3 linked regions of the Arabidopsis thaliana genome follow. The protein of the gene in region 3 interacts with the protein of the main gene of each other region in a pairwise test. Each region holds a gene or a part of one and is shown on either strand. Other genes may lie near its edges.

Region 1 (10,420 bases), 770 kb from region 3:
AGTACTTAGATTCTGAAATAAAGATTAGATTTGCTTTGGATATATATAGATGCAGAAGTTAGAGGATGAACCTGGCGTATTGAGTTTGCTTTCTCCAAAATCGCGCTGATCTTAGTGTTTATGATAGGGTCAGTTGTTGCAGTAGCCGATGATGTCGTTGTCATGACCACAGGCCTAAGGTTGAATTGCTTTGATTTGAAAGAAACCAAGAATGTAGCAAAAGATGATATAACAAATCAAGCATCAGAATATAACTTTCTTTCACAAAAAGGAACTATTTGCACTCACTTGTGTTCGGATTTGTTGCAAGAAGTCTCCAGTTTCAGTCTCCTTTGCGTTGGCACTTTGTTTCTCCTCCCTGACATTATTCTTCAGATGGGCCTATGAGAACATATGCTTGTTAAGATTCGTAATTTGAACTATATTGAAAACGATCATCTGGAATATATGGAACTGACCCACACTGTAGAAAAGTAGGAAGAAAGAGTCAAAATCTTCTCCATACCTTAATTTCTGGTTTAGGAGCAGAAGTCACCATGCTAGGCAGTTCGTTCTTAGCTGTAGGCAATGAAATATGCTTCTCAAACGCAAACCTGAGAGCTTCTTGTAGTTGTAGGGACTGTGTTTTGTCTTCCATTTTCTCTGAAGGTGTCTTTGAAACCATCCATTGCATGGGTGGAAATGGCGGTGGTAAGGGCTCAGCAGGATTTTGGAGATATGAGAGGTTTACGGCGACGCAAGAACTTTCTGATTTGATCCCTAGAGGGGAAGCTTCAGCATTGTTATCAACATGCCTACTTTCGTGGAAAGAATCATATAGTTCTTGCTCTTTTCTTCCATGGCTGTCACTGGATTCTTCCCACGGCTCAGAATTTGACAAGGAGTGATTATCGCTAAGATAATCGGTATCTGACATGTAAGGAGATGATCTACAAAAAGTGTCGTCGTCAGAATAAGAATCAGGAAGGGAAGTTCCAGTCTCTGGAAGCAACTGGAAGGAGGAAAAGGTATTGTAAGTGTTGTCTCCATCTGAAAATTTAAGCTTCAGTCTCGAAGCCTGAAGAGTGTCAGCGGGATTGAGAGATATTTTCATGTGTTGAAGAGGCGGAGACGAAGTGATCCAATCAATAGGAGCTTCGTCTCTGAAGGGGTCCATAAAGGTTTTCTCATTAATATCTTGGTCACAAAACCTCCTCCTCTCTGTAGTCACTTCATCGTTCTCTGGAATCGTTGCTGGTACAGTCTTTCTATCATGTGCAAATGAATCCTTTCTGCGGAAACCACTAGTAAGAAACTTGTGGCTGAGTCCAAAAACTCCAGAAGAAGTCTCATGGGACTCTCTTTGGTCTACAATACCCATGACTATGCCATTTGAACTACCTGGATTTTGGGTTCCTGGCGTTGCTAAGCTTGAATTATTCAGAACATGTCTATGTGAAGCATTTTCAACTAGATCATCTGCTTTATCTTTTTCAGCTTCTGCAAAACCAACTGTCCTTTCCTCGGTCTTGCAATCTGGACTTAAAGAACTTGGCATTGCCAAGACTGGAGGTTTCGATGGTTTCAGTCCCAATAGACCACCATTAGTCCATATTTTAAAGGCTTCGAGATCCCCAGAAGATTCAGCTTCTGTTTCTTGATTTTCCTGTAGGCCATGATGAATCAAGGGGTTTGATGAATCAACTAAGCTGTTCTCGAGACCTGGCACAAATGTAAATGTGATGGTATCTTTTCCACCAGAATCATTACGCATATCCTTGTTTGCACAAAGATCATTTTTTTGTAAGCGGTTGATATCTGAACCCGCCTGTAGATTTTGTTGATGCATTTCAACAGATACATTTTCTGACGATGCATTCTCTTCATTTTTAAAACTGTTGGCCATAAGCCCATCCATTGATCTGCAAGAATCTTCGACACTGTAGGAATTCTGCTCTGTTTCTTGCTCACACACTGACTTTTCCAACCTCTCATCTGCAACACCACAGGAACTGCTCACTTGACTAGTTTGAAGCCCTTGATTGTTTTCAGATTCTGATTCGATAGTATTAAGCGCATCAACAAAACACTCCCCTTCGCTTTCAGTCTCTTGTTCACTATCCCTCGGTTCTCCCACAATCTCCCGACCATTTTTTATCTCTCTTACCTCATCAATCCCAGCACGTTTTCGTAGTCCTGATTCTGATTTATCATTTTCATTGTCCTTAGAATGGAAATCAACTCCACCTATCCCTTCCCCATAGCTTGGTTTCTCATCTAGAGTATCTACAACAGAGTTCGCCTCCACCATTTCAGAAGCTTCATCTGTCTGCAGACCAAGAGATTCCACTATCTCTGCTTTCTCATCCCAACTAACGCAAGAAGAGCCACGAGCAGCTTGCCCTTGAGAAGGACTAAACTGGAAATTATCATGAGCATCTTCGGTTTCACATTCAGAAAGGACTGAAGCAATAGTGCAAGAGCCTGGTGTCAAGCTGGATGAAACGAACACCCCTTTCGGTCTTTCTCCAGTCTTCAGTGAAGAAGTTGCAGTTGAAAGGCATTCATTGTAGCCTGAACCACTTCTGGACTCAAAAGAGCGAGAATGATGATCTTGAAAATCATATCTTTTTTCCATGTCACTGGTTGAGGTGGTTTTGGTAGAAGAGGTTTGTCCACTGAAGCTAAATGAAGCAAATGTCTTCCTGGAGTGAACTATGTCTGAGTTAATTATTCTTTAGGTGCACGGAAACTTAAATATGCCAACAATATCTATAATTTACCTGGCATTCTGGTTAGCCAAGGAGGCCAAACGTGACATATCTCGACTCCTTGACGAAGTTTTTTTCTTCTGTCCATGCCAGAAAACAGATATATATGTGTCAAGTAAAAGAGAATTCTACAGAAAATGGTTTACCAATTTAATCTGAGAACCACACCTTCATTTTACAATGCTTTTTATCTTTTTGGAACTTCTTGTTTCCTTGACTCAGGTTGCTTGATGCTCTTCTGAAATAAGTAGGATCTGAGTATCGCTTCAAGCAAGATCCAGGACCATTTATATCAAATCTGAGAAAATAAAGCAAAGAATCAGTATAACATGATGGATTATAGTACATAGTACATACATATCAGATATAAATATTTTAGCTTGAGGCATACTTATCAAGCAAGTGTAACCGTGGAGGACCCCTGCATTCTTCATAGGGATCCATAATAATGTGAGGCAAGTCGTCATAAATTAAGTGATTTTGCGTAATTGGGATACGAGGATGCCACTCCAGACCTGAACCCCATTAAACTCCTTCAGTTCACAAGATATAAAGTAAGAAAAATACAAGCATGACCACTTTCTCACCACCCATTACTTCCACGGTTTCAATACAATAAATAAAAGTTTGCCAAGGGGAACCAAACAACTAATACTATCAATTCAATTTTAAGTTAATCTATTTTAAGGTTTTGCAGAAGATACAATGATTTAGTTTCTCAATCATTCCAGATTCTAAACTAGCCTCGTCAGAGAAAGTTTTAGTTTTAGGGTAAGTGAAAAAGCATGTGAAGGCCTACAATGAACTAAGGATGTGACATAATTTATTAAAAGAATTAATGTGAAACCTAACAAGAATCAGACACCTTGGGTCAAGACAATAAGAAGATTGACAAGAGGGAAGAAGACAAAACAAACCTCCTGTGTATGCAAAATGTATATGAGTTGTTTGTGCAAGCATCGCCTTTTCTAGTGGAGGCACTGTAGCTTCTATATGCTGCAATCTAATCTTTAACTGATTGCTTCTTGAAGCTGTAGCCATAACTTCCTCCTGTATCCCATGAAATATCTCTGCTGCAAACCTTAATCAAGAGAAAAAGCAATCGATAAGAAAGTTTCTTCCTTTGTGCTAAAATGACCCTTATCAACCAGAGATCACTCCAAACCCAAACTAAGCTTGATATCAGAGCCGACATAAAGAGTCACCACATAAGGAGTTGCTAAGAAACATAAACTAAGCTCATGAAACAAAACTAAACACAGCAAAAATGGAGAATGATTGATAGAAACATCACAACAATCATAGAATCATAAATGAATAAAGCTTCTTCCTTTTTGCTAAAGCTTAACTCAAAAACTTCAAAGGATCATGCAATCAAAATGGGTTCCCAAATTTGTAGCTACAAACACCAATTAGATTACCTTAAACAAGTAAAGGCAATTACTTTCACACAAAGTAATGATTCTCATCTTTAACTTCACCACTAGCTCAAAGAATCATTCAACAGTAGAGATACCCAAAAGAGACGCAACATTAGCTCGAATTGAATACTTACTCAGCGAGATCACCAAGCTGACGCAAGACCCCAACAAGTCCAGTAACTGCAACACCATTGAGAATTGCTTTAGGGTCTTCACGATCGACATTTCTATACACCTCGCTTTGGTTCATACCGTATACATTCCGTGGCATTTTTTCTCTTAAAAGGTACAAAACTGTCACACATTGAGATACAAAAAGTTTTGTGGCTAAAGCATTAAGAGAGCTGGGAAAAGGATTAGGAGAAAGAATCAAAAGGTTTTTTTTTGAAGAAATTGAGAAAATGGGTTTTGATGAAAACGAGAAAAAGGTTAATGATTGTTGATGGGTTTCTGGTGAGTGAGATTGATGAGGCAGCTTAACTGCTCAAAAACAGAGAGGGAAATTTTGGAGGCAGAGAGGGAAAGAGACTGTGAGAGAGAGAGACATTGACATTGCCAATATCGCAAGCCATTCCTTTCCAATTTCATTTACCAGTGGGGGGTTTACAGAAAAGTAGAAAGACCAAATTACCCTTGTATTTTGTGTGTTATTACGTGATGGGGTTTTGAGAAAAGAAGGATTTTATTTTTATTTTTGGTTCAAAGAAAGGTTATTGGTTCGCACGATATGAACATTAAATTCTAATTTTGATTACAGAATAAATGTTCGATTTTGTAATTTAAAAATGAAGTGGTTTTCGGAAAAAAAGTGAGAGAATGTCAATGTCAAATAAATGTTTCGTCAAGTTTTGTAGTTATTTGAGTAAGGATTTGTTTGTTTGTCAATAAATAAAATTGTTGGGTTGGTTACATGTTGAAACAAAGTCCAACGAGTGAGATGGACATATTACAAATAGTACGTTCTAGTATGATACAATAAATGTAGACAATTTTTAATTGTAATCGTGGAATTCCACATTTATAATTCTTGGAACTAGGTAAATTAGTTAAGCATATCCGATGCAAAGTGGTTTCTCCAATGCATTCAAGACTCCTAGTTTTCTATACAAGAGTTAAAATCACTTGCTCTTTATGTTTACATCCACCAGAATGTTTATGATTGGGAGAACAACCCCAACAATTGAAGAAGAAGAAGAGGCAGGGATATTATGTCTCAAGAATCTCACTACAAAAAAGGTTAGTTGTATCAATTAACTTGCAACAAAAATTTAAAAAATACTAATTTGAATTACTTATTTACAATCGATACAAAAATTATAATTTAACATCAATTGCAATAACTGATGTCGTATTAGTTTGTGTGACATCAGTTCATTAAAATTAATGCAAATCTAGGTCTATTTGCCTCACTTTCACAATATTAATACAAATATGTGAATTTTAATCATTTAGAAAGTGATACAAAATTTAAATCAATAATAACCGATGCTAATTACAGATTTAGCATCAGTTGCACTAACTGATATAATTGTTTATTCAATTTGTTTACATACCACATATCTCCCACAGAAGGAAAAAAAAACCTCCATAATTTTTTTATATATGTAAAGTTACATAATTCTGGTTTTAGATGGTGTCCAAAAAGTGTAAAGTTACTATCCCAACTAAATTTAAGTGTTCGCTTAATATTAATTAATAAAGATATTTGTTTCATAAAAACTAATTTAGTATTATTTTATAAGTTATTATAATTAATATAAACACTTAAAATTATTTATTATAAATGTTGCAAATATTAACGTTATTTTGATAAATTGATACAAATAATAAATCACTTATATTCAATGATGCAAAATTAATATCATTTTTTTGCAACTGATGCATATTAACATCGATTAAAATAATCACTACAAACAAACATGTTATACGGTAATGTTTCGACAGTTTAAGAGTTACTATATATGGAGGAGTGAACAAGGCAAACAACCACCAAAAACCAAAAAAAAAAGAGATAGCTACTAATATAGATCTTGGAGCATGCCAAATTTTACAAGAAAAAGACCCAGAAGATTATACTTTGGGGAGAGACCAATTTGGGTTAAAAACAAGAGGAAATCAAGAAGCAGTAATGTCATTAAGCATATAGAACACGGAAAATCATCTTCCAAGTGGTTTTGTTCAAGTTGACAAGAGAAGAGAGACATTTTTTTTTGTATCCTACAATTCGAACTTGCATGGAAGAAGAGACATCAAAGGATTTCAAAAGAACCCAAAACCTCATAATAAGACTCAATTGTATCTAAAACACCAACTTTGATATTGAAGAAAATCTTAATTTCATTCTCAACTAATATAAGAAGAAGAAGCATAACTAAGAGTTGTTGGTGTTATATAGAAGTGGGAGGAAGCCATACAGGGAGGCTGTCAAACTCAACCCCTTATGGTGTTTCAACTTGGTCTTCAAAATGACGGATACTTCTGGTGGCGATATCGTAAACACCAGATATCATAAAATCTGATCTTTTATGAACAAATTATACTTGGCGTTCGCTTTGTCTTTCATCCATCAAACATTATATGTATGATTGTATCCAAAAAAAAATAAAAAAATCATGTGATATGAAAGTTTTTCTCTTTCGAAAAAATAATCTATGCATTCAAAACAGAGTTCTAGTCTATGTTAACAATGCCATGCAATTTCATAATTATTTCTTTCTGCCTAAAATCCTTTGTATCATCTTTCTTATTCTCTTTCTGTGTAATCTACCTTCTACCATAACAAAAACCGAAGTTCCATAAACAGGTAATCTATTTTTGTTTTAAATTCTTAAACTGAATACAAAATATTTATCCTTTTGTTATAAGTTTTTTATAATTGCTTATATTTTGCTTATTTGGTAGAGTTGTACTGATTAAATATTTTATTGTCATATATGAGATAACTATATGGATTTTCTAGAATTAATATCTTTATAATTTTGAAATGAAAGAAATTAGAACAAAACAAATTTTAATTTTGCTTTAGACTTCTGTTATCTTTCGACGGGGCTTACGTCCATATAGTGTTTAGATTTAATTTATCAAACAATGAAGCTTTAAATTCAAAACAAATATTAAACTCAAACCTGATAATAAGGGTATGTATGACTGTAATATATAATCATATAAGAGATAGCAAATAAGTAGATATGATACAAACAATTTGTGTTAACACCTAGAGTCATGGTCTCATTGCTCCTACAATCATATATTCATATGTCTCGACCATTTTGCATATATAGGTTGTATGAAGTGTTGTCCATACAAAATAATATAATATCGGTGTTTGTTCGATTAATATTTTGTTCCATATTTTGTATTCAACATATTGCTCTTGTTGTAAGAAATATTATTGAATCTGTTTTCTGTTGTTTTGATTAGTCAAATTAATGAGCTTCCAACACCAGCTATAATGTGGCGGGAAAGTCACCAACAGTGAATAAACCAAATTTCATTGTGGCTTTGTAGTTTCAAAATAAATATTATACTCGAACCTGATGATAAAAATACGTATGATGTAATATACAAATATATAATCATTAGAGAAGCATGAAAATAAGTAGATACGATACAAACAATTTATGTTAACACTTAACACCCATAGTAATGGTCTCGTTGTTGCCAATACACTATTTTGTATTGTAGTCTATATACAAAGATATGAACTAGATAAAATTTCATTTTAACTCAAGTATTCGAAACTCCTAGACCGAGTGCACTTTTTAGCCGCCTGATCTTGGTGATCAGTTGGTACGTGTTCGAGGGTGATAGATTCTCAACATATATAAATGCCAGCAAGTTGCACTATTATATCTGTTATCATCTCTAAATCGATCATTGACTTTGCGTTCGGACAACCTCATAAAGGAAAGATCATTCAATAATGATTTTGTTGTTTTGTGAAAGTAATTGCGTAGGCTAATTCTTAGTATTAGTTTAGAAACTCGAATACTAGTTGTAATATTGTAGACTAATACTACGTAACTACCGATGATTTATACATATCTAATCTATAAATCGATCGTTGACTTCGTAGTCGGACAGCCTGTAAGCTAACACACGTATATAGTACTAACATTGTTATATGTGTAAGATGTGTTTTTATTACAATTAGAAATTCAGAAACACTAAGTTAATCACATTCAAACTCAAAATCTCTCGTTACTCAAGTAATCGTTCTCTCTCTGCACTCTATGGATTCTCCCGAGTCGAAGCTCATATCACTTGCTACTCAGCTCATCTCTCTAGACAACTCTTCGGATTTGGAGCTCGTATCATGTACTATTATTCAAATAATATCTCTCGTTAGCTCAATGGATTTGGATTCGCAGCCGAAGCCCGAGACGAAGCTCATGTCACTCATAGCTCAAACAATCTCTCTTTTCAACTCCATGGATTTGGATTCCCAGCCGGAGCCGTTAAGGAATCTCATATCACTCATTACTCAAGAATTATCTCTCCAAAACTCTATAGATTCTGATTCTGAGCCAAAGCCTAATTCACAGGTTATGTCACTCTACTCTGAAACATTCAAACTCAAGCCGAGACCGGAGCTCATATCGATCATCGTTCAAATATACAGTCTTTTCATGTCGCCGGAGCCGGATTTCACAGATTCAGATTCGGGTTCGAGTTCAGATTCGGAGATGGAGTCAAAGCTCATATCAGTCATTTCTCAAATACTCACAGTCGACACGGTTGTGGTAACGGGTGAGGAGTTGGATGAGTCGCAAAAGATGTCAAAAACGAAATCACTTATTTTACGTTTTAGTCAACTAATCTCTCTTGTCAGCTCTATGGACTTGGATTCGGAGCCGGAGCCAGAGTCGGAGCTCATATCACTCATTAAGCAAATAATATCTTTCAGCAACTCAATATCGGATTCAAACCAGAAAGTGTTTCTGTTGTGAGGAGGATCTCGAAAAGATATTCTACTATTGCTCGGATTGTGATTATGCTATGAATATAGTTTGTGCGGAAAAACCACCAGTCTTGTATATAGACCATCCGAATTGGCATCAGCATACACTTGCTCTCTTTCCTAGACAAGCTTTCTTAACTTGCAATGTGTGCGCCTTGGCCGATGCAAGCTCTCCTATCTATATGTGTCCCCCTTGTGATTTTGTGGTCCATCTAAGATGTATCAACTTACCACGTGTCATAAGGATATCTCGCCACCCCCATCGCATCTCTTTTACCCCTTTGTTCGACCAACGAGATAGATCTTGTGGTGTTTGTCGCGAAACTATCGACAACGATTTTGGGGGTTATTCTTGCATCAAGGATGATTGTTCGTACGGAGCACATTCAAGATGTGCCACACAAAGAAATGTGTGGGATGGCATAGAGCTTGAAGGGGTGTTAGAAGAGATTGAAGAAGAAGTTGAGCCGTTTGTGACGATAAGTGATGGAATCATACAACATTTTAGTCATCAACAACATCATTTGAGACTTGATGAGAACAAAGACAGAGATTACGATGACAGTAAGCAGTGTGATGCATGCATCACACCAATCTATTTTGGTAACCTCTACTCTTGTATACAATGCAGCTTCATTCTTCACGAAGAATGTGCGAATTTATCTCGCAAAATACATCACCCGATACATCCACCTATGCTCTCCCTAGTGGGAGGATATAACGAAGTTAGAAAGTATGAGGATAAGTGTTCAGCTTGTCCTTGGTCGTGCATAGCAGGTTTCTTCTATGTGTGTGATAAAGAAGGATGTTATTTTAAGATTCATGTGCAGTGCGCTACAATTTCTGAGCCATTAGTCCATGAAAGTCATATGGATCCTTTATTCCTAACATCTAAACCAGGAGAGCAAAGAGGATGCTCTGTTTGCAAAGATTCAAGACTTGAATGTACAAATGAAACATTCAATTGCATCAAATGCGACTTTGCTTTGTGTTTTGGATGTGCTACTTTACCTCAAAATGTGAGGTATAAGCATGATGATCATATTCTCACTCTTTCTTATGGGAAGGAGACAAATACTGAGACATATTGGTGTGAAGTCTGTGAGGAAAAAGTAAGTTCGAAAGACCGGTTTTATAAGTGTGATGAATATTGTTGTGTCACCTTACACATCAGATGTCTGATTGGGAAGGACTTATACATGAAGCCCGGTTCATTGTGTATCTACAAGGATGGAAGAAAGCTATTTGTGTTGCCCAATAATCATATGTCTCGACCATCTTGCACAGGT
Region 2 (10,420 bases), on a different chromosome or scaffold from region 3:
CCCTATTTCCACTTCAGCAATTATTTTATCTCCATCTTCTAGAATATAAAGTATATACGAAAACTGCAGTTGCAGGAGTGAAACCTTCAGCACCTTGAGATTTGCTCAGCGTGCAAAGGCAATACAGAATAAGGCTGTTGTCAATGAAGTGATGCAGGATGATGTAAATTTCTTGCGTGGAGTGATACACCAGCTGAGGGTACGGATTCTTTTACATATTTTATAAGATAGAAATATAAATATGAATATGGCTTTTAATGGATAAATTGTGCAGGATGAACTACAAAGGATGAAGAATGATGGAAATAATCCAACCAATCCAAATGTTGCTTATTCCACTGCATGGAATGCACGTAGAAGTTTGAATTTATTAAGAAGCTTCGGTCTGGGTCATCCAAGGTCCTTACCTCATGAAGATAATGATGGTGATATTGAGATGGAAATTGATGAGGCTGCTGTTGAAAGGCTTTGTGTTCAAGTGGGTTTGCAATCATCTTTAGCTTCTGAGGGGATCAATCACGATATGAACAGAGTAAAGAGTATACATTCATCTGATGGCCAATCTATAGAAAAGCGGCTTCCTGAGGACTCAGATGTTGCCATGGAGGATGCTTGTTGCCATACTGAGAACCATGAACCAGAAACCGTGGATAATATGAGAACTGAGACAGAGACTGGCATCAGAGAAAATCAGATCAAGACACACTCGCAAACTTTAGATCACGAGTCCAGTTTCCAGCCTCTTTCAGTCAAGGATGCTCTTTGTTCTTCACTGAACAAGTCAGAGGATGTGTCATCATGCCCTGACTTAGTTCCGCAAGACGTTACTTCAGCAAATGTATTGATAGCTGATGGAGTAGATGATCCAGAGCACTTAGTAAATTCTGCATCTCCCAGTCTTTGTATAGATCCAGTTGGTGCGACTCCTGTATTAAAATCTCCCACACTGAGCGTCTCTCCTACGATTAGAAATAGCAGGAAAAGCTTGAAGACATCAGAATTGTCAACAGCATCTCAGAAGGATAGTGAAGGAGAAAATTTAGTTACAGAAGCTGCGGACCCATCTCCGGCTACATCCAAAAAGATGAATAACTGTTCTAGTGCTTTGTCTACGCAGAAGAGCAAAGTTTTTCCTGTACGGACTGAGCGGTTGGCATCTAGCCTCCACAAAGGAATTAAACTTCTTGAGTCGTATTGCCAGAGTACAGCTCAAAGACGATCGACGTACAGGTTTTCCTTCAAAGCTCCAGATAGTGAGCCTTCGACCTCTATAAGTAAGGCTGATGCAGGTGTGCAGACCATTCCCGGAGCTGATGCAATATCAGAGGAGAATACAAAAGAGTTTCTGTGCTGTAAATGCAAATGCAGAGAACAATTTGATGCCCAGCAAATGGGTGACATGCCAAATCTTCAGTTAGTACCTGTTGACAACTCGGAAGTGGCAGAAAAATCCAAGAATCAAGTTCCCAAAGTAAGAACTGTGACTTTTTTCTAACATAGATTTAGATAGTTATTCACAGTCTTATTTTGTTTCCACATTTCTATAATTGGTTCCTCCAACTGATCGAGTTTTACACTTTACAGGCAGTAGAAAAGGTTCTAGCAGGTTCTATCAGGAGGGAAATGGCTCTGGAAGAGTTCTGCACTAAACAAGCCTCTGAGATAACCCAACTTAACCGACTGGTATGATACTTGCGTCTTTTTCTGTTTTTAATCTCCCTTAGTAACTGTATCCTCAAACATAAATTGGTCCAAACCGTGTAATAGGTACAACAATACAAACATGAGAGAGAGTGCAATGCCATCATAGGACAAACAAGGGAGGACAAAATTATTCGCCTTGAAAGCCTTATGGATGGCGTATTATCTAAGGAGGATTTCCTTGATGAAGAATTTGCTTCTCTTCTCCATGAACATAAGGTAATTGTGGCTTCTCGTTTTGTAAAAGGGTATTTGATTGCATTACCCTTTTACTGACATGTAATGTTGCAGCTTCTAAAGGACATGTATCAGAATCACCCTGAAGTGCTTAAGACGAAGATTGAGTTGGAAAGAACGCAAGAAGAGGTCGAGAATTTCAAGAACTTTTATGGTGACATGGGAGAACGGGAAGTGTTATTGGAAGAGATTCAGGATTTGAAGTTGCAGCTGCAATGTTACATTGACCCTTCTCTTAAATCAGCTCTGAAAACGTGTACCCTGCTTAAGCTTTCATACCAAGCTCCCCCAGTTAACGCTATTCCTGAGTCACAGGACGAGAGTCTTGAGAAGACATTAGAACAGGAAAGACTTTGTTGGACAGAGGCAGAGACCAAATGGATTTCTCTCTCCGAGGAATTAAGAACTGAGCTTGAAGCCAGTAAGGCGCTGATTAATAAGCAGAAACATGAACTTGAAATTGAGAAAAGATGCGGGGAGGAGTTGAAAGAAGCAATGCAGATGGCCATGGAAGGGCATGCACGGATGCTTGAACAATATGCAGACCTGGAAGAGAAGCATATGCAATTGCTTGCAAGACATAGAAGGATTCAAGACGGAATAGATGATGTCAAAAAGGCAGCTGCAAGAGCTGGAGTCAGAGGAGCAGAGTCCAGATTCATAAATGCACTTGCAGCAGAAATTTCAGCCTTAAAGGTAGAAAAAGAGAAGGAGAGACAATACCTGAGGGATGAGAACAAAAGTCTCCAAACACAACTAAGAGATACAGCTGAAGCCATACAAGCAGCTGGAGAGTTACTTGTTCGGCTTAAAGAAGCCGAAGAGGGATTAACAGTTGCACAGGTACGTTATTACATTTTCTAAACATGTCAGGTCACATCCTTGAATAAGTCTGTTGCTTTTATTATTATGCATGCATGTTCTTACATAAAATCTATGTGGCTTGTGTCAACAGAAACGTGCGATGGATGCAGAGTATGAAGCTGCAGAAGCATATAGACAGATTGACAAGCTGAAGAAGAAACATGAAAACGAAATCAACACACTTAACCAACTCGTCCCACAATCTCATATTCACAATGAATGCTCTACCAAATGTGATCAAGCCGTGGAACCATCAGTAAATGCAAGTAGTGAGCAGCAATGGAGAGATGAGTTTGAGCCGCTTTACAAAAAAGAAACTGAGTTTTCAAATCTTGCTGAGCCTTCTTGGTTTTCGGGTTATGATAGGTGCAACATATAATTCTAATATCTATTTTGTGTGTTTAATGTGTATAAAATGGGTGTCTGATTCTGTGATATAAGTCCAATTTCACTCATAACTTGCAACTCATTATGTACAAATGACGCAAACCTCCTGGATTCGTAGAAGATTAAACCAACCTTCATGCAGATCTCTTAGCTTAGACTGCAATCCTAATTCCCAAACAATTCTACTTTTCATTTTCATGAGCGTGCTCCTTCCTTTATCTCGCACTCTCTATATTCTAGTAACAATATTCATATTTTTGGGTATTACACTAAATAGCAAATTACACTAACGGAACTACGTCTATCAACGTCTTCAACGCCAACTCCACGATCGTGACCTGTCCGGACAAATATGTTCTAAGATTGTCGAAGCCCAACTGCAAAGAAGTCAAAGTTTTTACTTGCCACAACAACGTCAACAACCTTTATTCATGATAGTCTCTGTCAGATTGACACACAAGTTATACAGTGTTGTGCCTTGTATTTCTTCTCCGTCGGCGACAGATTTGGACCAAGAAGAAGAAGAATCGGAGACTTGTGCAATCTGTTTGGAGAATATGTCGAGATCTGAGAATTGTTGCCAGATGCCTTATTGTAAGCATTGCTATCATGAAGGATGTGTCACTAAGTGGGTGATTACACTAAATAGCAAATTACCATTGTACCTAAAAACAACTCTTCCATATCTCAAAAGGGTATAGTCTATGTGTGTTAATTACCATTTTTTACAATCAATTCGTCCTGTTCCATCATCAAAGAGTAAATCTAACTTTTGTGACTTTTGAAACATCTTTGTCACACACTAGACCAACAAGTGAGACCTGAATATACCAAAAACATCACACAAAGACTTCTATAAGATCCATATATAATTTTTTTTGAATCTACCTCTTCTCTACTAATACAAATCTGTCCACAAGTTCTTCATCTACCATTCTTTTCACAGACGCAGACTTTTTCTTATGAATAAAACAAAAGATACAAGAAGAAACGATGTGAAGTAAAACATTACTTCCAGAGACTATTAATAACTCCGTACCGTTCTTCGTTCACCATTTGTTTGGCTCAATTTTCACAAGTTCCGAACCTATGCAATATACAACCAAATGGGAATGTCATACTCATATAGTAGATATTAGACATCTTAAAACAAGACATATGTTGTTGCTTTTTGTTTCGTTTTGCATACAGTTGTTGCTCTGTTGCTGACTATCTCTCGAAACCCATCTGAATAATACTCTGAAGATCGTTTTCCCAGAAGGGCGGCACCTAAAATAACACAACGCACAGCTAAGTAAACTTTCAGAGGAACCAAAACAGTGGAAAAATTTACATAGCAACCCAAAGTATCTTCAACATTAAGTACCTCATCTTGAACAAATTCATCACTTGAATGTAGTTAAGGACTCAACGAGTTCAATTGGAATTGAGTTTGAGTCTCTTATAATCTTGGAATGCTCTTGCCAAGAGAAAAGTACTCTGAAGGAAGTCTTGCCTCTGAGCAAGAAATCGACTGCGTTAACTCTCCCAGCTGCAACATCTACGCATGCAAATATGATATATACTACTCATCGGATACAGAACATTCTACAAGAAGCAGAGCCAGTCTTTGCTATAAATGAATACAGTAACATAAACAGATGTGTTAAAGCGCAAGTACCGCTTGTAGTTGTAGATTAGAACTTAGAAGTAGAGCAACCCGGTTCACCGGTTCAATCCGCAGAATCTTGCTGGTATTTGTGGGTCAATGAACATTCCATTTTAGAATGTACCAGATCCGGTCGGAGTGTCTGGTTTGGTTCGGTTTTGACGCATTTCGTTTCACTTATCCGGTCAATTTGATCGTGATTCAATTTTCCGATCGTTGATCTCTAAATCTCCTTACGATCTCTCCTCTCACGAGTCTCCAAGTCGTCCAAGGTATGCAATTTGTTCACGACCAAGGTTTTAGGGCTTTTGATTTGTCTGATTGATTCCTAGGGATCTAATTTGATTTCCCTTTCTCACATTTTCCAAAAGTTTCAGACTTTCAGTAGATTGGCTTATTTCTCTAAGTGGGTCTCTCAATAATCATGATCTTGTTGTTGCTTCGAGTTGATTACATAGAAACTCTAGTCTCCGGGATCTTGCTGTTACTTGATTGTTATTTTGTTCTCTTCTTATCTTAAACATTTGAGAGTGTTTTGTTTTCTTGTAGACATTTTGATCCTAAAGTTGCTTTCTTATTGACGTTTAGTATAAAAAAGTTGGTAACCTAAATTCTATGAAACTAAAGATGCTTTCTTGTTTATGTTTGGATTATTTTTTCAGCTCATAAAGATTCATCGAGAAGAAAGATAAAATCCTAAGTCTGGTGCAAGTCTCGAGTAGAATAACATCATTTCTAGGACATGGTAAGAACCTTGACTGTAATTCTAATTTTGATTCTTCTCATACTTGACAAAGACTCTTTTTCATTCAAACATGTCCTGTTTAGAAACAATTCTTTTAAACAATGTCTATCGCATACTGATTTACTGCAGAAATTGTTTAAAATTTGCTTCCGATGGGTCTTTGATGTTCCAGGCAAACTCATTACGGCTGTATCTAGCATGCATAAAAAATACACTCGAGGCTGCCATGTGCTTACAGGTACAAATTATTTTTGGTTCATGATATCATGGCATAGGTCTCAAAGTTTCCATCTTTATGGTTAAGTTTGTTTAAGGCAGTTAAAGCTTCATGTTGGCGTTCTATCTCATTCATCCACCTTTGGTCTGTTATTCTCTTGTATTAGTTGTTTACTTTTTGATTAGACATGTTGTACCATCATTCACTTACTTTTTGACGTTTTTCTCGCAATATTTGGTGTCAGAACCTACCGATTTCGTTAAAGTAGGTGAAAGGGGCCATGTGGAGTCTTTGAAAACATTCAGCTTTACATGGTTTATATTCCTGAAAGCTTCTATACTTCTCTACTTGCAGAATTTTCCTTGTCAAGAAGTTGAAAGGCATAATAAACCAGAGGTTGAATTAAAGTATGTAAGCTTCTCACAAGAAGATGCATGTGAGAATGGGGTGCTCTTCTTCCATTTTTATTTCAAGCATAGAATCTTATTATCACCATGTGTTTGCTAAATTTTGTAGGACGAGCCCAGAACTTTTGCTAAATCCTGTAAGAAGTTTACTTGTTTCCCTCCCAGTTTAGCGTTGATATTGCATTGTCTTCTTACCTAGGTTTTGTAGTTGACTGCTAAGTTTTGCAACTTGCAGGTTTTAATATGCCGAAATGAGGCTGAAAAGTGTTTAATAGAAACATCTATAAATTCACTCCGGATAAGCCTCAAGGTAAATGTTCATCTTACCCTAGCTTTTCCTTCAAATACTTCCAGGAAGAGCCCCAGTGGTACACTGTTCAACAAAGGCTTTGTGTTGTTTTACTTTCCTGTTTCTCACCGTTTCCTTTGTTTCTTTCTCCTGAGATAACGTCTTGACGAGTCGTGACTTAGTCTAGACATCTGTCTTGTTCTGCTGTTACAAATATTTGTTATCTTTAATTTGCAGGTCAAGCAAGCGGATGAACTTGAAAACATACTAACCAAAAAATTTCTCAGATTCTTGTCCATGAGGGCAGAAGCTTTTCAAGTACTGAGGAGGAAGCCAGTGCAGGTAGACCTTCTTATTGATTCAACACTTAGGTACTTGTGAGTGCTACTAGGTTTTATCTAGAAGTTGCAATGCATTCCCTCTTTTGTCGAACTTCTATTTTTTTTTAATGGTAAATGCATCACGAATTGATTAAACATAACGCAGACAGTATTCACAAATTCTCCTTAATTTTAGCTTTCTGTGCAGGCATTTTTTAGGTTTAGGATGATAGATAGTCTGTATGTACCACACCTTTCCTTTCTTTTTCCCTTCTATGAATCATGAATCATGAATCATCTCACTGTGCGGAAATGCATTGCCTTGGCTTTAGATGGTTTACTGTTTATTCCCCTGCATTGTGTGAACGATCCATTCCCTTATTCCCTTCAATTGGTTTCTTTGTTGGTGTTTTGAACAGGGCTATGACATAAGCTTTCTTATAACAAACTACCACTGCGAAGAGATGCAGAAACAGAAGCTAATTGATTTCATTATTCAGTTTATGGAGGCAAGTCTCTCTCGAAACCTAATCTTTTTATTCTATGACCTTGGTTGCTCCCATTAGTAGCATCCTAACAATCAATATATGTCTTGGTTGCATCAAACCTAATGTTAGTGATGCATCCTTACGTCGTTGTGTTTCTCACGGAAATAACTTGAGAAGTAGTATTCTGAATAGTTGCCTTAACAAAGGTCATTATATCCGTCTTTGAATTTGAATTGTTTCTACAAGAGTCAACAGAGATTAGTTACTCTGATTATGTCCTCCAACATGCTAATCTCCGCTTAAAATAGATTTGAAACTTGAAGTGTGACTATTTTTTAACCATGGAAATTGCAGGATATAGAGAAAGAAATAAGGGACTTGAAGGAGTCAGTGAATACAAGAGGAAGACTCGTTGCTACGGAGTTCTTGAAACAGTTCATGTAAAGCAGCTCTTGAAGTAGTATAATGTAACCCTTCATTGTATCAATCACTCGTTATTTGGTTAAAATCCATCTACTCTTCATTTTGCTACTTTCTCTGTTATTCTAACACAACCAAAGTACCGAGCCATCGGCTTGGTAATTGTAGTGTATGTAATGCGATACTTATCAAATGTGGTCTGTTGATCGTAGATGTTCGAACGTACAATCCCAGAAACCAAAAAGTTGTTTTATCTTATTCTTACCACCAAAGACCAACAAATTGTTCATCTCTGACAGAACAAAGATCCACAACAAAGGAAAAAACGTCGTCGTTTCTTTTACACCGTAACCCAAAATATGAGTTACTGGGCTGGGCCCATTATTGAAACTAATAATAGGGGAATTTATTAATTTGTTTGATTATTTCCTAAAAGAACGAACGACGCCGTATACACCGAGAAGCTCAACGTTCGTCATCACTCTTCTCGCTTCTCGGCGTCTCCATCGCCGTCTCTATCTAATCTCGTCCTGCGTCGACCTAGTGAGCTACTTCAGATTCCGGCCATCACGCAGCTCCAGGTTAGTTTTTATTTATGTCAAACAACGAATCGGTGTGTTGTGCCTAGAATGGAACTGATTTCTGGGTTTAGATTGAGAATTTCTACGGTTTAGGAAACGTTATTTAGGTCATACGAATCTGTTGTTTGTAGAAGATACGACGAAACAAATCCAGTCACGTGAAACAGAGCTAGTATTGATCTTTAACTCTGCTCTATTATCAAATTGATTGAGTCGATCTGAAATTCACAGATTACCATATTTGCACACTATGTTTTGTGACTAATTTCAGAAGAAAATGTTATTAGAGAGTAGAAAATGGATTCCTCAATGCTTATTGTAGTAGCTACTCTTGTGTTTGTTTTCAGGATTAAGAAAAATGATAACAATGTAGTAGGTTCTCACTCTTGCTTTTTCCTTGCAGTTGTATGCTTTGAGAGTTAATACAAAGATGACAACAATCGAAACCGGTCAGAAAACTCAAAAGTCTTCTCCTTCCGGTTCTGGTACTACCCCTACTGGTACTCTTAAGCAGTCATCAGCATCGTTTAAAAGGTGGGGAAGGAGACACCCGTTTGTAAGATATGGACTTCCGATGATATCTCTCACTGTATTTGGAGCCCTCGGACTCGGCCAACTCCTTCAAGGCAGGTCAGTTCTTTCTTGATTGGAAAACCTCTGAATCTATAAATGTCTGGGGAAATGTCAATGATTCTGTTTAGAATTCACCACATATGGTTTATTTGGTTAGTTCAGTAAGGATATTGCAAAGGTAAAAGATGACCAAGAATGGGAGATTATAGAAACAAGAAAGGCACTTTCGAGAACAGGACCTGTCGATGCCTATAAACCTAAAAACACATCCATTGAAGATGAGCTCAAGGTAACAAAGGATATACGCTCAATTAGACTGCATAAAAGCTTTGATGAAACACTAAAATCTTGACTGGGTTTTGTTTAACGCAGGCTATGCAAGAGAAGGTGGACATAAACACGTACGAGTACAAGAAAATTCCAAAGCTAAACGAAAGCAAGTCGAGTTAAGAAGAGTCTTTGTATAAGATTAGTCTTTTTAGATGTGTTTCAGTTTTAAATGACTCTTCAGTTCACATAATCGCCCAAGTACAAATTCCAGTAAGTTCTGTCTGGGCTTCCTAAAACCAAGAACAACGAGGGACTTGCCAATTGTTGATAATACATGTTGTCGTGTTGATTTACGACGTCCAAATAGATCTGAAAGAGGTTTTATAACCAGTTAGACTTTACATCTTTATACCAATTTCTACACAACTTTATTTTCTAGTAAAATTTCTCATACTTCATAGACATCATTTCTTGCTTCATAGACTTTGAGTTTTAAGAAAAAGATTATACTAAAAAAAATGAAATGATGGAGGGACTGCATTTCCAATTATGATTGGTGTTGAAGAGAACTCTTGAGATATAGGGCTTCTTTGAGCTTCCGACCGAGAGCGAAGGCCAATGGTGGAGGGACTGCATTTCCAATTTGCCTATGTTTGTGTTTTGTCGTCCCTGAAAACTCGTAGCTATCCGGAAACCCCTACATTTTCATAAAACAACACTTTCACTTAAAACTGTTGTATCCATAACCTAACATTACTTAATGTCCAAAACAAAAAGAAATATGTACTCTATTAGTAATGCTAGAGGGCTGACGAAGAAGGAACATAAGAACTTTTTTTACCTGAGATCGGGCGCATTCACGGACAGTGATTATTCTGTCCTGTTCAGGATGGAAGCACATTCCCACCTTACCCATGGGCTGAGGATCGGTGATGGAAATGGGTAAGTTTCCTTGCCAGTCCAATCTACCATAGAGTCCCTTCCATTCGTTGTGGTTTTTAGCTGTCTTTGATAGAGCTAAAGGACGCAATTTTTCCACGAGTCCATTTGATAATGTCACCTGTAATATTAAAAACATTGCATGAAGTTGACGTATAGATTTAGTAAGAATTGTTGTAGTGGAATGTATAAATGTAAGACTGACATTTTCGTCCGGCAGGTCACGCCAATCAGCACCAGGCCTCTTTGGGATTTTCTTACATCGAATGAGGTTTAGTTCGTTCAGCCCTTTGCAGATATGATCAGTGAGAACACTCATGTTTCCTCTTATCTT
Region 3 (10,420 bases):
TTCTTAAAAGGGCGAAGGTGACGTGGTGGTGACTAGAAGAGCCATGTCTGGTGTGGCGCCTAGTTAGCGTCGTGTCGGTACATCGTCAGCTCCACATGTCAACTAATCGCTGGTCAAACATAATCAATGTGCATAATTTGTTATTTTGTTATAACTTTTTTCTTATTGAATTTCATCCTTGTGTTTTATTCAATATGCACCTTTTTGTCGCAATCAATTCGCTTTTTTTTTGTTTTTATGTTTATGAATAATAGAATGTATATGAAAGGTAGTCTTTCAAGTATCTTTTTTTTGTTTCATTTTTGAATGAAAACTTATCATTTCAAACTCAAATTAATTTCCGCAGTTGTAAGAAGTTTAAATGTATTAATTAAAATGTTTAACTTGTATAATTGTAAGAGGGTGACAATACTTGTATGTGATTTCTTATTACTGAGAAAAAAAACTCATAATATATCTTCTTAAGTTAGTTTAGCAAAAAAAAATATCTTGTTAAGTTTTATACAGATTGTTTTTTCAAGTTTTCCAATCACTCAAAACTTGACATATAAGATTTGTACATTTCAGAAAAATACTTCCAAATATATAGTCTTCCATATCAGTACTAAGATTCAATCTTTTGTATTAGTTCATCAAAATATATACACAACCAAGTAAGCACATACCGAATCAAATGATTTTGCATATTGAAACAAAACGGATAAATATATAGTGTAACTCACCAACATTTCTAGTGTAAATATCTAAATTTAGCCCAAACGTATATTTAATTCACAGAAACTCAAACTTTTTTAAACAAAATTGTGTTGATTTGTATAATTTCTAAATAAAATATTTGAAATTTGACATTTTCACTCTTTGAATATTCCACATATGAGAAACTATATACACGCTTTAATACGTGATGTTCACTTTTAAGTAAATAGAAGTAATTTCAATCAAATACATGAACTATAGGGCTGAATTATTATATTTAGATTCTTCACTCTCTATATATGACACGTATAAGGGAATCAAACTCGTCATTTGCATCTTTCCATGTGTTACGTGTGAAAGTGATTTGTCTGAACCAAGAAAGTCCTGATGGTATACTATTTGAGACTTTAAGAGTAGATTATACTTTATGCTATCATTGAGTATATTTATTCAATAATAGTAGTTAAAATATGTAGTATACTTTGTAATATATTTGTAATTTGAAATATATTACAAATAGTCAAATAGTGATCAGTACAAAAGTATTATGAACGAGTATTGTAAACAAATATTTTCGAGAATGGTAAACTTAAACAATGAGTATCCAATGTGACGAAAAAAAAAGTAACCAATGTTGAACATGCATCATCTATCAACCTTGCCGAATGCACTCAACAAACCAAAATATTGATGATTAAGTGAATATATTAAACCTCTCCCCAAAAAAAGGTTTTTAGTTAAACTTAAACTGTTTTTAGGTACATTAATTTTTTTATTATATAAAATGTAGAGTTTGGTTGTATATTAATATAAAATAACAAATCTTGTTTAAGTGCTCCCGTTCTGCATGCTAAAAAATATATTGTTTAAAAAAAAAGATATATATTGTTCATCAAATATTCAAATATATGTATTATGTAAGGTTTCATGAAAGTAAAAACAGACAAATTCTCTTATTTTAAATGTTTAATTTTATTGACTAAAATAATTTAAATACGAATACGACATTGTCGTTTCAAAAGGTTAATCTTATCATACAAAAAATGAAAATTGTGTTTTTGGAACTTATTAATTTCCTAGAGAGAAAATATAAATTTAAAAACAAAGTAATACTAGTTCACTTGTATGAACAAAATAGTTTAATCAAGAAAAATATATAATGCATTGATGTGATGAAATATAATGTGGTTAGAATGAAAATCCAAAAAAAGGTTGAGAGAGAGATTAGAGAGGAACCAAAGTGAATGTCGGAAGATACAGGAAGGAGGTTGGTCCGTTGGTGTCGGCTACTAACGGTTGGGCCACGTCATCTCATTTCATACCCTGTTGGCCCCACATTTTGTTGACCTACTGACAAAGTGACAGTTGACCGTTCTATATTACGGGACTGGCCCCCACGTTTTCTATATCTTTGCCGACAACTACCCTTTCTTTCTCCTTTATTTCCAATTTATTTTTTATTTAGTTTCTCTAAAATTTAACACATTAAAATAATAGAATTGTTAGTTTGAAAAATATAAAATAATACATGTACTGTTGCGTTACCTATAAATCTATGATATCCATTTTTTTTTTTTGATAAAATAGCCAAATGAATATTGAACTCAGTATTTTCATAACAACATCCAAACAAAATTAGTTGTATTAGTTTATTAGTGACTAAGATTCGGTTATAGAAAAAGTTGAATATCTTAAGTCAGGTGGCTATAATTTAAGCCAAACTATATAAATTTATTAATTATGTATCATGTTTTCTTATTTTCAAACTACAGTAAATGATTATCTATATCAGTAAATGAATATAAATAAGTTAGCAAAAATCTAATCTAATCAAGTGGTTGGATTTTTTTGACATGCATGGAGTTAAGAGATTAGGGTTCAAGTTCTTTTATTAAAAATTTAATAATACTGTAGATCCTTCATTACTGCAAATATTTTAAATGCGAAGAATGCACTACTTTCATTTAATTTCAAGACTTATTTGGATTTTGGTATTAAAAATTTTAGTTATAAAAAAGAAATATGAACTAATCTGCACATTGAAAAAGGACGAGGATCGAACATATACAAATGCAACATATAGGTCCAACAACATGGAATTAACATTCGATAGTTTTCCACCTATTAATAAAGAATTATTTAAATATTAGGTGCAAAAACTCTTACTCTTAACACCAAATGTAAAATCAAAATAATTTTCTAGTTTTACAAGTTACAACACATATATCACACTCCAATTTTACTTCCCCAAAAAAACTTACAACGCATACAAATTTCCGGATTTGAATATAAATATAATTATGACATATATAATAGTACGATTATTTTCTTTAAAAAAAAAAAAAGATTATAGTTGGTTTTATCAGCACATGTCTCTAGGTTATAGGCTTTGGTTAAAAAGGGAGTTTATATTAGTACTAAGTGTAAACAAGTAATTTGTATGCAAATTATTCATTTTTGCCTGATAACAATTTTATGCGTGGTCGCTGTTGTTAAATTAATTAGATTTGAAGTAATGGTTTATAATAAAATCGAGCCGTGTAAAATTCGCGTTGATGAGTCAATGCATCGTCACGTGAGATCTTTAAGTCTTAACCACTCACTGCGTTACAAGATCTCCAAATCAAACAAAATCTAGTTTAGTTTGCGGTGAAAATGAGATAAACAAAACAAAGGGACCACACTAATCCAATAAAACAAAATTTTTTTTTACTGTTGATAAAACAGGTTCCAAATTATTGTTGCTTCCTAAACGTTTTGCGATTAGTGCATAACAAGTGATTGATATGATTAGTGCTGAACAAAATGTATTTGTCAACAAGATGAAATGATAAAATTATATATCTTTTTGTTACAGTAGTTAAATCATTTAATATATCGACTCTGTTTAATTAGAACTAAACTAAAATGTGAAGGTTTCATTGGTTTCCATTTAAACCTGTGACAATAATCCCATGTAGTATATATGCGATAATGACCACCTACTGCCACACAAATGCAATATATACATACACATGCATACTCTTGCAATAAACTATTTTCGCCACTAATCATGCTGCTGTATTATGATGGTCTGTAAACCAAATTATATAATCATATATTGTCACTTTTACTACCCTTTCGTAGAATTATTTTCTTTTAAGATAATTTGTCCAAAAACATCACGCATGACTCATGATTGCTACATACCTGAGAAAAGCTGAGATATTTATTGCAAAATATTAATATTTGGTACGACTAATTATCTGGCTGAACATGAGTGTACATAGAATATCCACGTTAATGTGGTTCGAACCTAGATTAATAATAGAATGATCAGTACTTGTTGTATATATTATATAGCTAGCCATAAAACGTTACAGAAAGAGCGTATAGAAGATGAAGTAGAGCATCCCGTGATGGGCAAACTAGAAATTCGGTGGTTTCTCCGACATATAATGAGACAAAATAAGGTTCGAAATTAAAGTTAGTCCATGTGATCACTCGGATTCACGTTCATTATACGAATATGAATGAATCTGTTTCAAACATTTAGCACATGCATGTGACATGTGATTTTACTTGGTTTGATAATTTACGTGTTGCATTTTGTAACACAACTCTTAAAACATCTGGGTCAACATATTAGACTATATAGTTGTGTTTATATATGGTCTATCGTCTAGAATTACGGAGCTATTTGTCACGGCCCACAAGTGCAATGAAATGAAATTTAATTCATAAGTTTAGATTATCCACTGGAGTATGTATACTGTCCTACAAGAATCTTTCACTTAATATACATAGAAGTATTTTATATTATATAGACGTATATTAGTCACTTTATTGACGTTTACAGAATATGAAAAAATGATGGGCCTTCGCAATTGTACGTACTCGACAACATGCGTGGCGATGACTCACCTTATCCATATTTGATATTACTTTTTCTAGTACTCCTTGTTTTTACATCACTTTCTGGTAATATTTAATTAGAAATTTAGAACCCTAGACTTTGACACGGTAAATTTTAATAATAATAATATATAGTTGTATTAGAACAGTTAAGAAGTCTCACGAGTTCATAATCAGTTTTGCTTACTAGCTAACTGTATAAATAATTATGCTGGAATCTAACAATTCAAAATTAACTTTGCTTGAGAGTTTTATACCAAACACAAAAGTACAATTTAGTCTAGACTCTAGAAAAGATAAATTCTTATTGCGAAAAATAAAAATTGCAATATATATACAATAGAAGTTTTGGGAGGGATGGTTTGGAAGTTTTAACTATCTCCATGACTCGACATATAAAAATGTAAATATCATTGTTCAGCTAAATGAGCTACCATCGATTAGTTAAAAATAACATTCTTTTACGTCAACCAATCTATGGTTTAGGGGTTAAAATTTTCACTCTCAATATAAGAGGAAAGGTTTAAGTTTTTATCAAAGTTTTCCGGTTATAGAAATAACGTACGTACGACTGTTTTCTTTTTCTGCTTTTTTCAGATTTTCTAAAATCAGTACTTGGTCTTATATATAGATCGATATGCAAATATGCAATGGCGAAGATACGTCCCTAGCGGCTCCTCTTTTGCCAAGACCATGTCACGATCTATCTTACAAACGTTACTCATTTTACTATATCTACTTTTTTCTCCCTAATATAAATATAACTTCGCATATTTATTCATGAATATTTATGCTAAGAAAAGCCATCACATGCATTTATAGTATGTAAGCTTATGTCGATGCAGTAGGACCATATCCGTATATATGTGTGTGCGTATAGATACGTGAGATAGTTTTGCTTTTGAGGCTCCTTCATCTCTCACATCCGTCTGCCCACGATCAATTTCAAAATAGACAATTTTAAAGCTAAAAAATAATAATTTCTTTTTATATGTAGATGTAGCTTTCATATCTAACCTAAAAATATTTGTCGTCAAAGTAAAAAAACTTAATAAGAATATTATTTAAAGAGCTTTAAACTAATATTAACTATAAATCGTTCGTATACTATTGTTCGTTAAATTACATTTAGAGACTATACTAGTCTACTTTAATATCAATAAAAATAAAAACTTCACATGCATATGTTATTTGTCTTTATCCCACTCTGGCCAATTTAAATTTGAAAATATACGTAGACTTATAGATCAAATATCTTATCTTTTCATTGTTGAAAAAACTAATGTAACATTCTAATTAGTTAAATATCTCCACTTACAAAAAGAAAAGAGCCATATCTTATCCAAATTAATCTCTCAATTTTAAAAGCACACATTAAACGGTCAAATTCCAACTTTTGTTAGATTAAAATATTATGAAGACGTCAGATAATACGAAAACATTGCTCCACTAATTTTTGTCGTTTATTTCCATTCAAATAATCATATATCTGGAATCTAAAATATAAAATATCATTTAATTTACGTGCTTATTTTTTTTTTAAAAACCTTCGTCAGATTACAATCAACATAGCCAGGTATAATCAAAAGCCAGAGAAAAAATAATAATACAAATGTTAAAATCTGAAGGAAAAAAAAAAATCTAGAAAACACTACTAGTTTGCCACTGTCAAAACAAACATACAGATATTTGCAACATTAAATATTTTTGAAACGTTTAAGCTCAAATTGTATATTTATGAAATGGGCTCAGCTTATACTACATAGTATTTACATAATTGGGCCTATGGGCCATTTAAATTCATAAAAAATATAAAGTACAGAAATAACGAAACGGCGTCGTTACACTTAGCTGAGTAGCTGAGTAATAAAATTGAACAAATTAGTAAAATTCCAAAAAGTTATCGAAGAAACGTTCAAGCTGTGACAGAGAATCTCGGTCGTCTTCGTTTGTCTCCGACGAGCTCTCTTTCTTCTCCGATTAGATCCCGTGAGAAGAACTCAAAGGCTCTAGGGTTTCTCTGTGATTCAGTTAACTCCTTTAGATATCGTAAGAAAGTAATCGATGATACTATTGCAGTCACATTCAAGGTTTCTTCTTCAAACGCTATTGACGCGAGCTCAAAAGTAAGTGCTTTTCAATTCTTAATTAGGTACACTCTTAGTTTTACCTAATCTACAATAAGACCCATTTTTTATTTTGGTCGATTTGATTTTGATTTTGTGAAGAAATCTGAAACATTTTGGAAGAACTGGGTTTTGTAGAATGGAACCAAAGTTCAATACTTTGCTTGATTTTGTTTATGTTTTGGTTCAGTCTTGATAAAGCAGTGGAGCTAGATTATCAATGGATTGAATTTGATGATGTTCGTTACCATGTTCAGGTGTGAATTTTATACCAACATTTGAGTATTTGACCTCTGAGATCCATATGATCTTGTTCAATGTTCTGAGACTATATGAATTTTGTTTGATAGGTGACAATGAAGAATCCAAATCTGTTGTTGCTTTCGGTTTCGTTACCAAATCCACCACCTGAAGCAATGTCCTTTGATGGACTTCCTTTAGGAGCTATAGAAGCTATTAAAACCACTTACGGGACAGGTTTTCAAATACTTGATCCTCCTAGAGATGGTTTTAGTTTAACCCTCAAGCTCAATTTCTCTAAAGTTCGTCCTGATGAAGGTTTTTAAACGAGTCTCTTTCTCTAATTGATAAGATGTTGTTTTGATTTAGATGTTGGTTTTGTTCTCTAATAGAAAGTATCTATGTTTTGGCAGAGTTATTAACGAAGCTAGCTTCCATTAGAGAAGTGGTGATGGGTGCACCGTTAAAAATCATTTTCAAGCATTTAGCTTCAAGGACGGTTGCTCCTGAGCTGGATAGGCTTGTAGCAATTATGCATAGACCTAACGAGACGTTTTTCCTCGTGCCTCAGGTATATATATACTCTATAGGTCTTTCGTATGTAGCCATTGAAGTAGGTTCTTATGATTAGTAAGAATCTAGAGAGTGATAGAGAACTTAACTGTGTATCACAGGCGGATAAAGTCACTGTGGCATTTCCTATGAGATTTAAAGACTCCGTAGACACGATTCTGGCGACTTCTTTCCTTAAGGTGACAAAATGATCAAAGCTAAATTTTCAAACAGGTTTTGATTTCTGTAGTACTGAAACTTTGGATATAATGATATAGGAATTTGTAGAGGCGAGGCGTGCTGCTGCGCTTAATACTGCTCCTTCTTGTTCTTGGTCTCCAACCGCACCGCAGGAATTAGAGGGAGCTCCTAAAGAAACACTATCCGCTAATGCCGGTTTTGTAACTTTTGGTATGATCTTTCTAAAATATATTCTGTTCGAACTCAATTTGCATTGGTAGTACCAATCTGAAAGAAACTAACTTTGAGATTATCGATATATCGCAGTCATTTTTCCTCGGCATGTGGAAGGGAAAAAGCTCGATCGTACTGTCTGGAATTTATCGACCTTTCATGCTTATGTTAGTTATCACGTCAAGGTTCATATTCTTTATCGAACTTTCATGTTTTCTACTTTCATATTCTCTAAATACCAGAACTTAGTCTCTCTATCTTAGTATGGATTTGTAAAACTGAGTTTTTGTTCGTTTGTTGTTATATCACAGTTCTCAGAGGGATTTATGCACACCAGGATGCGGCGTCGCGTGGAATCTATGATTCAGGTAAAACACCAAACTCATTACATTCGACTTGGATATGCGTTCTTTAGTTAACAAAATCTTGTTGTCTCAGGCTCTGGATCAAGCTAAGCCATTGGAGAAAACAAGATCGATGAACAACAAGTCATTTAAACGGCTAGTAAGTTGCGAAACAATTTGTTTTTCGACAGACTTTTTCTTTGTTTGTTTGCATTGTTTTTGAGCTTTGTTTCCTCTTCCTCACAGGGACTCAACGAGGTCAATCACACCAACTCGAAGTAGTTGGATTTCTCACGAAGCAATTTTGTAAAAACTTGTGATTAGCTGAGACATGTATTTTTTTTACTGGATTAAGTCTCTGTGATATTTATTTTAGTACAATTCTTTCAGATATTTCTATACATCTGATCTTGCTAAATATTTGAACAAATGTATAATGTGAAAATTGTAAGAAACTCACCTTGATATGGACTGTGTCTGGTCTTGATCTAAACATGGTGTTTTCAACAGAAAATAAAGTTTTTGTTTTGTTTTATAATTGTTTTTACAAAAATGAAGAAGATGAATCTTTATTGTTCTTCAGATTCTCAGATAGTCAAATTAAATGAAGTAATATTCGTACCAACAAATAGTCGTAAAAGTTGATTTTCATATAAAAACAAACGTTCAATTTATCCTTATACACAGATGTATCAAAGATTTGTAGTGATCTAGTAAGGTATAAGAAGAAGATTCAAAGGTCGCACGAGTAAATTAACGATTCCTTCGTAGTATACTTTTGAGGCCCATAAATTATGACTGGGCATATATTGTTAGGTTTCATTGTATCAAAAAATGAAATAAAAAGCAATTAACTGGCTTCGCCCGGGTTCGAACCGGAGACCTTCAGTGTGTTAGACTGACGTGATAACCAACTACACCACGAAACCTTTTTGTCTTCTTGATGTTGGTTTAACATATTCTATCTTCCTTACTGATCACCTTCACATTTTCGCAAACCATTGTATAATCTCTCATTAGCTCTAAGGACTAGAATATTGTTTCGAGAATGGATAAAGAAGCTGGAATAGTATTTGATATAAATGATGTTTTATGTCTTGCGTTAAAGAAATTTTGTCTGATTATTTTCGGATATGAAGTTGTATTTCACCAAAATCCTTTTAATACTAGACCATAATATCGATTTGATAACATACGATTTATATACTACGGTAGATTCAGATTATACAATATAGCATACAAACTGTGATAATTTTGCATCATACCGATTACCGTACTACGTTACGTTGTCGTTTTGGTGTTTGTATTATAACAGATTCATTTTTCTAGATAATTATGGTTTGAGTTTTATTATTACTTTTTTGATAATGATTAGCTGGGTATCGAATATCGATTACCAAGATTAGGTTTTGGTTTTGCGTAAATAGTACTCCTCCTTTTGGCTTGGTAAAAAAAACATAAAATTTAAATGTGAGTTTGTGGTAATCCATATAAAGCGTGAGAACTATTTTAAAATTTTAATGAAATCACAACAAGGACACTAGATTTATTTTCGCAAATTTCTCGTATTTATCTTATTATTGGTTTTATTCAGATAAGAGAGATTAGAACTAAAAAATTCTACAAACATGGAACCAAACTACATAAATAAAATAATATAAAAGAATAATGAACTAATTATTTTTAAATTATTGAAATTGTCTCTATTTTTTTTTCTATTTTTTTAATGGTTTCTAAGAAAATTAGAAATCTCTAATTTTTCTTCTATATAAATAAAAATAGAGATAAGTTAAAGTAAAATGAAAGCAAAAATAAAGTATAGAGATGGCTTGGAAATGCTCTTAGAAAGATGAAAGTAGAGTAGCATGATGCTCAGGTAGCGGGCGTGTGAGACACATGTGTTTTCTGCTCCTTTCCAAAAACAGATTAGGGTTTTAGAAACATATCGACATTTTGCCTTACTCGTATTTTTGGCATTTTTGCATTTCTTGCTAGTGTCATGAGGAAACTTCCTTTATTTTATGATTCAACGATATCGTTTTTAGCGGTAAATGACAGAGTGTTTAAGTTATTTGCAGTTCGAGATCTTGCTCGACGTGTCTAAATTCTCATCTATATCGATTTCTATTTCTAGATAGCCTCTCTTCCTCGTAC

What was found.
Region 1: the proteins of DIS2 (region 3) and WAVE2 interact in a two-hybrid assay, tested with the Arabidopsis thaliana proteins (one study listed by BioGRID).
Region 2: the proteins of DIS2 (region 3) and ARPC4 interact in binary tests that used the Arabidopsis thaliana proteins (3 or more experiments, as listed by UniProt).

The regions. Positions count from the first base shown.
Region 1 is NC_003070.9:10,190,459-10,200,878, forward strand, and holds the start of WAVE2 (SCAR family protein), read right to left. Parts: upstream 4,756-10,420; 5' UTR 4,443-4,755; coding exon 4,306-4,442; intron 3,832-4,305; coding exon 3,668-3,831; intron 3,266-3,667; coding exon 3,142-3,265; intron 3,049-3,141; coding exon 2,919-3,048; intron 2,831-2,918; coding exon 2,763-2,830; intron 2,685-2,762; coding exon 506-2,684; intron 382-505; coding exon 289-381; coding exon of another isoform or gene 262-288; exon of another isoform or gene 189-261; coding exon 72-188; intron 1-71. Other genes in the region: AT1G29179 (cysteine/histidine-rich C1 domain protein), read left to right, coding at 8,404-9,120; AT1G29180 (Cysteine/Histidine-rich C1 domain family protein), read left to right, coding at 9,170-10,420. UniProt on the Arabidopsis thaliana protein: Involved in regulation of actin and microtubule organization. Part of a WAVE complex that activates the Arp2/3 complex. Regulates trichome branch positioning and expansion.
Region 2 is NC_003075.7:8,151,406-8,161,825, reverse strand, and holds ARPC4 (binding protein), read left to right. Parts: upstream 1-5,035; 5' UTR 5,036-5,109; intron 5,110-5,458; exon of another isoform or gene 5,459-5,499; 5' UTR 5,500-5,579; coding exon 5,580-5,582; intron 5,583-5,754; coding exon 5,755-5,820; intron 5,821-6,153; coding exon 6,154-6,206; intron 6,207-6,315; coding exon 6,316-6,343; intron 6,344-6,441; coding exon 6,442-6,516; intron 6,517-6,732; coding exon 6,733-6,837; intron 6,838-7,234; coding exon 7,235-7,328; intron 7,329-7,657; coding exon 7,658-7,764; 3' UTR 7,765-8,019; downstream 8,020-10,420. Other genes in the region: PAKRP1 (phragmoplast-associated kinesin-related protein 1), read left to right, coding at 70-199, 275-1,471, 1,585-1,683, 1,768-1,920, 1,993-2,781, 2,894-3,181; AT4G14145 (cytochrome C oxidase assembly protein), read left to right, coding at 8,735-8,934, 9,040-9,166, 9,250-9,327; DMT2 (DNA methyltransferase 2), read right to left, coding at 9,695-9,844, 9,989-10,207, 10,292-10,420.
Region 3 is NC_003070.9:10,954,452-10,964,871, forward strand, and holds DIS2 (Arp2/3 complex, 34 kD subunit p34-Arc), read left to right. Parts: upstream 1-6,456; 5' UTR 6,457-6,654; coding exon 6,655-6,716; intron 6,717-6,906; coding exon 6,907-6,973; intron 6,974-7,066; coding exon 7,067-7,274; intron 7,275-7,369; coding exon 7,370-7,527; intron 7,528-7,630; coding exon 7,631-7,708; intron 7,709-7,786; coding exon 7,787-7,919; intron 7,920-8,015; coding exon 8,016-8,107; intron 8,108-8,233; coding exon 8,234-8,290; intron 8,291-8,360; coding exon 8,361-8,426; intron 8,427-8,512; coding exon 8,513-8,548; 3' UTR 8,549-8,780; downstream 8,781-10,420. UniProt on the Arabidopsis thaliana protein: Functions as actin-binding component of the Arp2/3 complex which is involved in regulation of actin polymerization and together with an activating nucleation-promoting factor (NPF) mediates the formation of branched actin networks.